Linked DNA regions of Canis lupus familiaris. The protein of the gene in region 2 interacts with the protein of the main gene of each other region in a pairwise test. Links are inferred from orthologs where the notes say so. Each region holds a gene or a part of one and is shown on either strand. Other genes may lie near its edges. The genes, in order: SPINK7 and RABL6.

Region 1 (4,411 bases), on a different chromosome or scaffold from region 2:
TCTAACAAGATACTGTTCCACTACCTAAAATAGCCAAAAGCTGAAGGGGGTTGGAGATCACCCTCAAATGATCTCCTTCACCCCTTTGGTGACTCCTGACCTGCCTCTCTTGAACTTCTGGGCTCCTGGTCTTACTGAATTCCCTCAATTGAGATAGAAATTGGCAGTTGGGTGATGGATGGAACTAGTTAAAGCTGGTAGAGCAGGAAAACCTAGCCTGACTGTGAGACAGTTTTCTCTCTCTACCAGCTGCTTCTGGGTGGGAATAAGCACAGCTCATGGAAAGTGAAATGGGCTCATAGAAAGAAGAGAGTTTTGCAGTGGAGGACACTGGCCGCAACTTATTTATTTTCTATGAGGTACTCACAAGTTCTCAATGCACAGGTGACATTCATTCCCATAGGTAATGTAGTCAGAACCACAAACAGGCAGGTATGTGATGGGGCAGGGGATGGCCACCACTGGGTACTTCTTGTAAATACTGCAGTCCACCTGCAACAGGCACAAGAGAATGTCCTAGGGTCTCCTGGCCCCCAAGATAGGCTACACTGGTCTCTGTTGGGCAGGAAGCAAAATACCATCCTAGGAGTCCCAGATCAGATATTCTGAGGCTGCTGTGCCTATTTCTACTACTACTAATATTATTGCCATGCTAAATACTAGTACTGCTGTCCACACTTCTGTTACTACTAGCACATTCTATTAATTCCTGAGCGTTTCCATGCTAGGCATTAAGCTTAAATTATATGTGAATTTTCTTTGTTTAACCTTCATAACAATGGAATAGGATAGGTCCTACTATTACGCCTACTTATAGATGGTGGGAATTAAGGCTTTAAAACAGAGAACATGCATAATGTAAAAGCTAGTCAGTGATGGGTCTGGGATTGGAATCTAGAGCCTGTGCAATTAACCAAGGTAACTCTGTTCTGCCTCTCATGTTGTCCTTTCCATGAAGACTTTGCCAACCTCTCAGCTGGAAGTCATCTCTCTCTCCTTTAACTTGGGATTTTTTTTTTTAACTCTATGATTACTTATATGTATGTCATGTTTCTTCAGCTGCCTTCTGGAAAGCAGAGGAGAATTTTTAATCTGTGTCTGTCTCCCTCTTAACCCCCTCCCCAAACACACTGAATTAATTCTGCATGTAAATTTCAAAAGCATTTGTTGACTAAATGCCAGTCAATAGGAATTGAAATTAAAATGTAATTCAATATACTCACTGTGGTTAAAGGCAGACTAGCAGCTTCTGAAAGAGAGTTATGGATAGAAATATTAAAAATAAAGCAAGGTCTCAAAGTCTCATTGGTTAAATAAATTTGGGCCTATAGATTAAGACTCTGTATTTGCTCTGGTGATGAATCTTAGCACACACTCTGTTCTTATATAAAACTCTGTTTGATGAAGAAGCCAAATGGCCAGTAATGTAAGCCTTTTATTTAGGCAGGAGAATTAACTACAGTTTCCTCCCTTTATTGACTATGGGACATTTTCTGGAGCTTGTGTCTTTGATAATGATTCAGAGTCAGATAGCAATAAAAAGTATTGCAGTCACCCCTCCTAAGAGCCTGAAGTGCCGCCATCTTTGATATTTCCCCCTCTGAATTGATGTAAAAAATGTAACGCAATGTTAAGGTGTTACAATATTAATTTATTGAAACCATTTTCACCATATAAAGACTTATAAAAGTCTAATTGTTGACTCCTGGGCTTTGGAGATTTGTGTTTCATTTTGATTCTCCTGAATTGATTTGGAGAGACATCCACGGTTTTCTGTGTCATTGCACTGAGGGATAGTATCTAATAACACCAGCTGCTTCCAGTGTCCTTATGAAATGGTAGACTTATGAAGACATCAGTTCTTTTATTTTCCTATGGCTCCATGGATGAAAATAAAAATCCTTGAAAGGGAAGACACTGGATCCAAACTCCCAAACACCTGTTGGCACATAAGAATCTCCCTTCCCTTTCAGAAAAAAAAAAAAAAAAAAAAAAAGAATTTCCCATCCCAGGCCAGGACTGTTTGTATTATAAGCCAGTACACTTTAAATCCACATGATCAGACATTTCCCTCCAATGCTTAGAAAGGGTTATTTGGGAAGACAAGTTCAATGGCCACACAGGGCACTCTCTGCCTTTAACTCACCTGAGCTGCTGAAGAAATGAGTTGCTGCACAGAGCAGAAGAAGCCCCCCAGTGACCTTCATGGTGGAGATGGCTATGATACAGAGGCTCTCAGGGCTGTCACACCAGCTTTGTGAACCATATCCTAGGAAAGGGGTCATGTTTATATGCCACTGCTTGGTTTCTCCACCTTTCCTGTGAGGTCACCCAGAGTCAGTGTTGGCTCTGAAAAGCTCTCAAAACACAATGTCACACCCTGGGTGGTGTTGAGGTTCTTGTCACTTAATTGCTACTTATTATCTGAACGACAAATTGATTATTTGAGGTGAGAAGTATTTTTCTGCCTGCACCAGAGGGGGGGACTGTTATTTAGAATTCTCAACTTCATATAGTGAAAGAAATTAAGTATAGGCTGCTTGGTCTAGTTATGAAATAAGTAAAAACATCAAACATTTTTCACCAAATAAAGAATATTAGACTCAGATTAGACAGATCACACTTAGGTTTATATTCTGCCTCCAGGGGAAATACTGTTTATTTTTGAAGCAATGAACTATGAAGCAAGCTGAGACCTGGTGGGAGGAACAGTGACCTCAGCGCTGATGAGGCTTAGAGGAGGACATTGACATTTTGTGGCCGTGTGACCTTGGGTAAGTCAACTATGTGCCATGAGCCTGTATCAGTCAGAAAGACCTGATTATTCTCTGCTAACATACAACCTCAGAATTTCTGTATCTTAATATATGTTTACCTTGTACTCAAGCTATCCACAGACAGTTGTCAGCAGATGGTGTCATATTGCCTTCAATGGATCCCAAGTGAGTCGAGTAGTTTTGTATGTCATTCATTGTCAAGGTGAAGTGAAGATGTGTTCTTGAGGATTTCCATTTTCAGCAATTATTTATTCCCCTCAGAAGTGACACTACAGGGGCACCTGGGTAGCTCAGTGGTTGAGCATCTGCCTTTGGCTCAGGTCGTGATCCCAGGGTCCTGGGATCGAGTCCTGCATCAGGCTTCTCACGGGGAGCCTGCTTCTCCCTCTGCCTATGTCTCTGCTTCTCTCTGTGTATCTCTCATGAATACATAAATAAAATCTTTAGAAAAAAAAAGAAGTGACACTGCTGTCACTTTCCCTCACCAGCAAGTGACCTGGCTCAATCATCGAGGTTACAGTGTGATCTTATTTTATCCCTTGAAGATGAGAAGGGAGAGAACTGGAAAACAGTTGGCAAACAATACAAAGACCACCCTAGAGCCTTGGTTTCATGCCCTATCAAGTGAGGCCTGCTGATAACCCCAATAGAATTTACTGAACTGGAGTCATGTACATGAAAATCTGTTCTAAAAAATGCGGTGCATGTAATTGTTATTATAATTATTATTAATGATCAGTCATAGGTCTCTGCTATGGGTTGCTGACATGAGATTGTAAATTGGATTGTCCAAATACAATTGTCTAAATAGCTGTGTTTTCCCTGTTGGGCTTGAGAGCATATGTATAAAAACCTGTAGGAGGGTGGTAGACTCTGTTCGACCAGTCTTTTGCTTGATGGGTTTATTTCAGTGCATTCTGAAACACAGCATCTGCAAAGATAATAAGCTAGTAATAAATGACATTGCATGGCTCCCTAAAATTTTGACTTTTACATCTGTTTGGAAAGGAATATAATGTAGTAGTTAATATGGGTAATTAGTCCAGAAGGTCTTTTTAGGAGTCTTGCTTTTACTAATTGTTAACTGTGAGACTTTAAATATACAGATTAAGCTCTGGATGTTTTAATTTCCTCATCTGTAAAATAGAAATAATATTCACCTCCCAGAATGACTTTGAGTATTGAATGAGGTTATATATATTTTTTCTTGTGTGTGTATGTGTGTGTGTATCAGAGTGCCAAGATCATAATTAGAGTTTCATGTATGGTAGCTAGAATATGGAATGTGATCTTCAGGACAACTCATTGAGGAAGGAATTTTATTACCCTAATTTTACCAGTGAGTAAGTTGAGACTCAGAGGATTTAAGTAATCTTCACAAGATCATGATACTAATTAATAGGGGAGACTATGTGGAGTTTGGTTGTGGAAAAGAAGAGAAGTGAATGCCATAATAAAGACACTTCATTATAAGTTTTATTGTTTGCTATGATAGTTTGAAGACAATTAATTCTGAGAAAAAGCCATTATGTTTCAAGAAGAGGTGTCTTTGTTGCAGTTAGAAAATGTATTTAGCAAAGAGGAATGGGAATGGGTTCAAAGGGAGATTAGGATGAGGTAGAGAATAGCATTAT
Region 2 (3,815 bases):
GCCTAGCACTCAGACCCACCACGAGGAGACATAGCGCAGGCCCTGGGTCCTGATGTCCATCCCTGGTGAGAATCACTGAAGAAGGGCTAAGGGTCTCCTTTCTGTAAAGAAAAAGCACAGAAAGACAAGCAGTTCTGAGAAAGACTGGAACACAGTCGAGGCTGGTCACTGATGAGAGTCAGGCCAGAGCCTGCTCCCTGGGTGCACCTACACAGGGTACCCTGGCTGTGTAGACCCGGCCGGGGACCCGCCTGTCCCAAGGACACCTGCAGGAAATGGAGGGTAGGTCAGCTGAGGATGGGCCAGGGCCATTCACTGCAGCCTGAGCATAAGCCTAAAACAGTGATGCACCTTGCTGTCCTCCGGGGGCGGGGAGAGGGAGAGGCTGCCATTTGTGTAGAGGCCGTGGGTGGGTGTGAGGCGTCCTTGGAGACGGTGCTGGTGGGGAGCCTCACCCACCTGGGGAAGAGTGGTACGCAGCAACTCCTGGACAGCCCCTAAGAGCCTGAGTGTGACCAGAAGGTCAAAGGTGGTGGTGGACCCTAATCTTCATGTCTTCCCCCATTTTAGCCACTGATGACATCGTCAAGGTAGAAGTCTGGGATGTAGTTGACAAAGGTGAGTCGTATCTTTTTATCATGAATACTTTTTCCCGACGCTTCCTTCCGTGTTGTGTCTTGGGTCTCTCGACAGAAGGGCCGCTCACAGAGGCTGTTAGAGGCCTGGGTCTGTGCTGTTCCTTTTAGTTTCTGGGTCTTAGATCAACTCCCTCCTGCATCTGGGGCAGAGGAGGCGGATGCACAGCAGTGACCAGTCAGGACCATGGCCTTTGCTGTTTAAATGCGTGTTTGACCCACTGAGACAGCGCCTGGCAGTGGGGGACTCACAGGGGCTGGCAGAGGAGGAGGGTTCCAAACCCAGGGGCCTGTGGGGCCTGTCCCAGGAGCCTTTCCTGCAGCACTGTCTGCGCAGTGTCCCCGGGCCCTGAGCCAAGAACCAACTTGCTGGCTTCCGAAGCCACCAGCCCTTGGGGGGACGGGGCCCCTTCCCGTGAGCGTGTTATGTTGTCACTGAGGTGGGAATGCCCTGTGGTGGGAATGCCCTGTGGTGCAGCAGAGACACATTTCCACCCTGGGGATCATTGACATGTCCTGCTTCTGCCTGTGGGAGGCACAAAGCCCACCCACCACACGCAAGGATGGCTACAGCAGGGATCCCGTGGTGGTGCTGGAGGTACTGTCCTGTGGCCCCAGAGCAGCACCCAGGAGGGTGCGCATGGCCAGCCCCTGCTGACCCGGGATGCCCGCTGTGCTCACAGGGCTCTGAAGGTGGCCAGAGGGTCAGAAAGAAGCTGTGGAGACCAGCAGTAGCAGGTTTTTAAATAAACAAACCCAGTGTGTGGGGAGGGAAGGGCTTTCTTAGTTTAGCCCAGGCTATTCCTAAGATGGAGGGACCTAGAATTCCCAGGGTGACACACAGCCCTTCCTTCTCCCTTAGAAGTATCTCAGAGATAGAGGGGAGGTGACAAGGATGGTCTGGAGCTCTTTACGGCTCAGGAGCCCCTAGAGCTGTGCCAGCTGCTGGTGTGCTCAGGGCCTGGGCCCAGCCTGGGAGGCCTGGGAGCATCCCTGGCCTCAAGGGCAGCACCTGAGAGGCTGGGCTGGGCGCTCCATCAGTCGGGGAAGGAAATGGGGGGGACATTAGGGCCATCTTGCTGAGCAGCCCTACTGTACCTGCCGGCACCTTCCAGTTTAGGCCAAACTGTAGCAACCCATCAGGGTCTCTTTCCTGGCTAGGACAGAGCGGCTCCAGCTGTCAAGGTCTCAGTGAGGTTGTGGTCGCTTCCTGCCACCAGTGGGGTTGCTTGAGTGCCAGCTGTGGGGACGTGGCACCTACCAGAGGTGGGGGCTGGTGGGTAGGACGGGGGGAAGAAGTGTCCCCACCCCCGGGGCCATGATTCCCCCTGTAACCCTTGTCTGTCATCCTAACAAGGGAAGTGCAGACGACGAGGTGATGGCTTGAAGGTGGAGAATGATCCCCAGGAGGTGGGTAAGCTGCCCCCACCCCCCGCCACCATGGGGCCCACCACTCCAGGTTGGGGGTTGGGACCCTCCCTGGTATTTCAGTGGTACCAGCTGGCCCCACTCCTTATGGGACCCTGTGTTGCCTACTGGTATATTTTGGGATGGCTGGGCTTGCCTGAGCTGCTGGTGGTGACACCTGCCAGGCCCCTCCTACGTGGTCCAGGTCTGTCTGGCCCTCTGTGTGACCCTTTGCTACTGCCCCCAGCACTGCAGTCACCTGTCTCTGTGCTCTAGAAGGTTCTCTGCAAGTGCTTTCCTCAGGTCTGGAATGTACACTCTTGGCCCTCTGAGTGATGGGAAGTTTGTGAGGCTCACAAGTAGGATGTGGTTGGTGAGTGGAGAAGGCCCTGAATCAGGGGCAGAGTTGATGTGGTCCTGGAACCTGAATGGTTTACTGCTAGACCCTTTTAGGCAAAGTTTTCTGACCTGAGCTCTAGATCGTCTCATTCACGTGTTTTTTTCCAACATGAAAATGGCTGTTATCTTTCGGGTTGTGCAAGTCCTTTTCAGCCTTCCCCAGGAGACAGGGCTCACAGCTGTGGGAGCCTGGCCAGAGCAGTCTCTCATGCCAGTTGTGTCCTGTCCCCAGGTGGAGTCCGAGATGGCCCTGGATGCCGAGTTCCTGGATGTATACAAGAACTGTAATGGGGTGGTCATGATGTTCGACATCACCAAGCAGTGGTAAGGGGGCGCTGGCTGGAAATGCCCATCGAGGCTCCTAGTACTCCACCACTTGGATGGCCACCCCAGTGGTCTGTCAGGTCGTGGTGACGCCTGCTGGTCACTGCTGGTGCCACACAATTAGAGGCTGTTCTTGGGCATCGTGCACACCAGCAGTTCAGCCACATGGAGGCCAAGGCTCGGCCATCTCTGGGGAGGTCCATGAGCACAGACGGGGAACGTGTGGAGGGCGGGCTGAGGTGGTACAGCACTGCAGCGGGGGGCACACCTTCCACAGCCCTGTGGCCCTTCCTGAAAGTACCATGCAGAACCAAGCGGCCACTTGTTTGGGGCTCCCCAAGACACTTCTGACGTTCTTTGACTAAGGGGACTCAGCTAAGATCCCAGGGAAAGACTACGTCAAGGCGCAGGGGTGTGAATATGGGGGTGGCCAGGTGCCAGCTCCCAAGGGGCCCCTCCTCATGGAGTCACGTGGGCAACATGACATGTGTCAAGTGGGGTCTGCCAGGGAAGAGATGGGACACACTTGATTCCCCAGGCCTGCCTGGCGCCAGTGTTCCCCCGCCCCCCCCGCCCAAGCAGAAGCACAGTATGCAGGTGTAGGGGTGTTGCTCTGGCCAGGTAGCTGCTGGCTGAGACCACCAGGAGTGGAGGCCCTATACCAGTGGGGACCAGCCTCCCCCGCAGGCCTTTCCAGGAACCACGGCCTCAGGCCTGCTGCCAGAAATGAATGTCTTCAAAGATGCTGAAGGAGGAACTGACAGAAGCCTGATTTAGAAATGGCCTGTGGGCCTCTACTCCATTTTCCCATTTTCAGTCTGTTTTTAAAGGGTTTTTTTTATTATTGCATATGTAGTCCACATTCACCGTAGCAAAATTGATCCTGCCATCAGAAGCTGGCACGGGTGTCGTTTGGTGGGAGCCAGCCAGGTTTTCCTCCGGGTGTTCCACATACAGACTTCTGTTTTCAGAACACTGGGATCTTTCTACCTTATCTGTATAGACGCTGCTTTTATCCAAGAATAGACTCACGCACAGTTGCGGCCGTCA

Evidence for each region.
Region 1: the proteins of RABL6 (region 2) and SPINK7 interact in binary tests that used the Homo sapiens proteins (3 or more experiments, as listed by UniProt). The link is inferred for Canis lupus familiaris from reciprocal best matches to the Homo sapiens genes RABL6 and SPINK7.

Annotation. Positions count from the first base shown.
Region 1 is NC_049225.1:61,384,273-61,388,683, forward strand, and holds the start of SPINK7 (serine protease inhibitor Kazal-type 7), read right to left. Parts: upstream 3,082-4,411; 5' UTR 2,286-3,081; coding exon 2,147-2,285; intron 1,250-2,146; coding exon 1,224-1,249; intron 493-1,223; coding exon 368-492; intron 1-367. UniProt on the Homo sapiens protein: Probable serine protease inhibitor.
Region 2 is NC_049230.1:48,753,997-48,757,811, reverse strand, and holds part of RABL6 (rab-like protein 6), read left to right. Parts: intron 1-570; coding exon 571-618; intron 619-1,992; coding exon 1,993-2,045; intron 2,046-2,673; coding exon 2,674-2,765; intron 2,766-3,815. UniProt on the Homo sapiens protein: May enhance cellular proliferation. May reduce growth inhibitory activity of CDKN2A.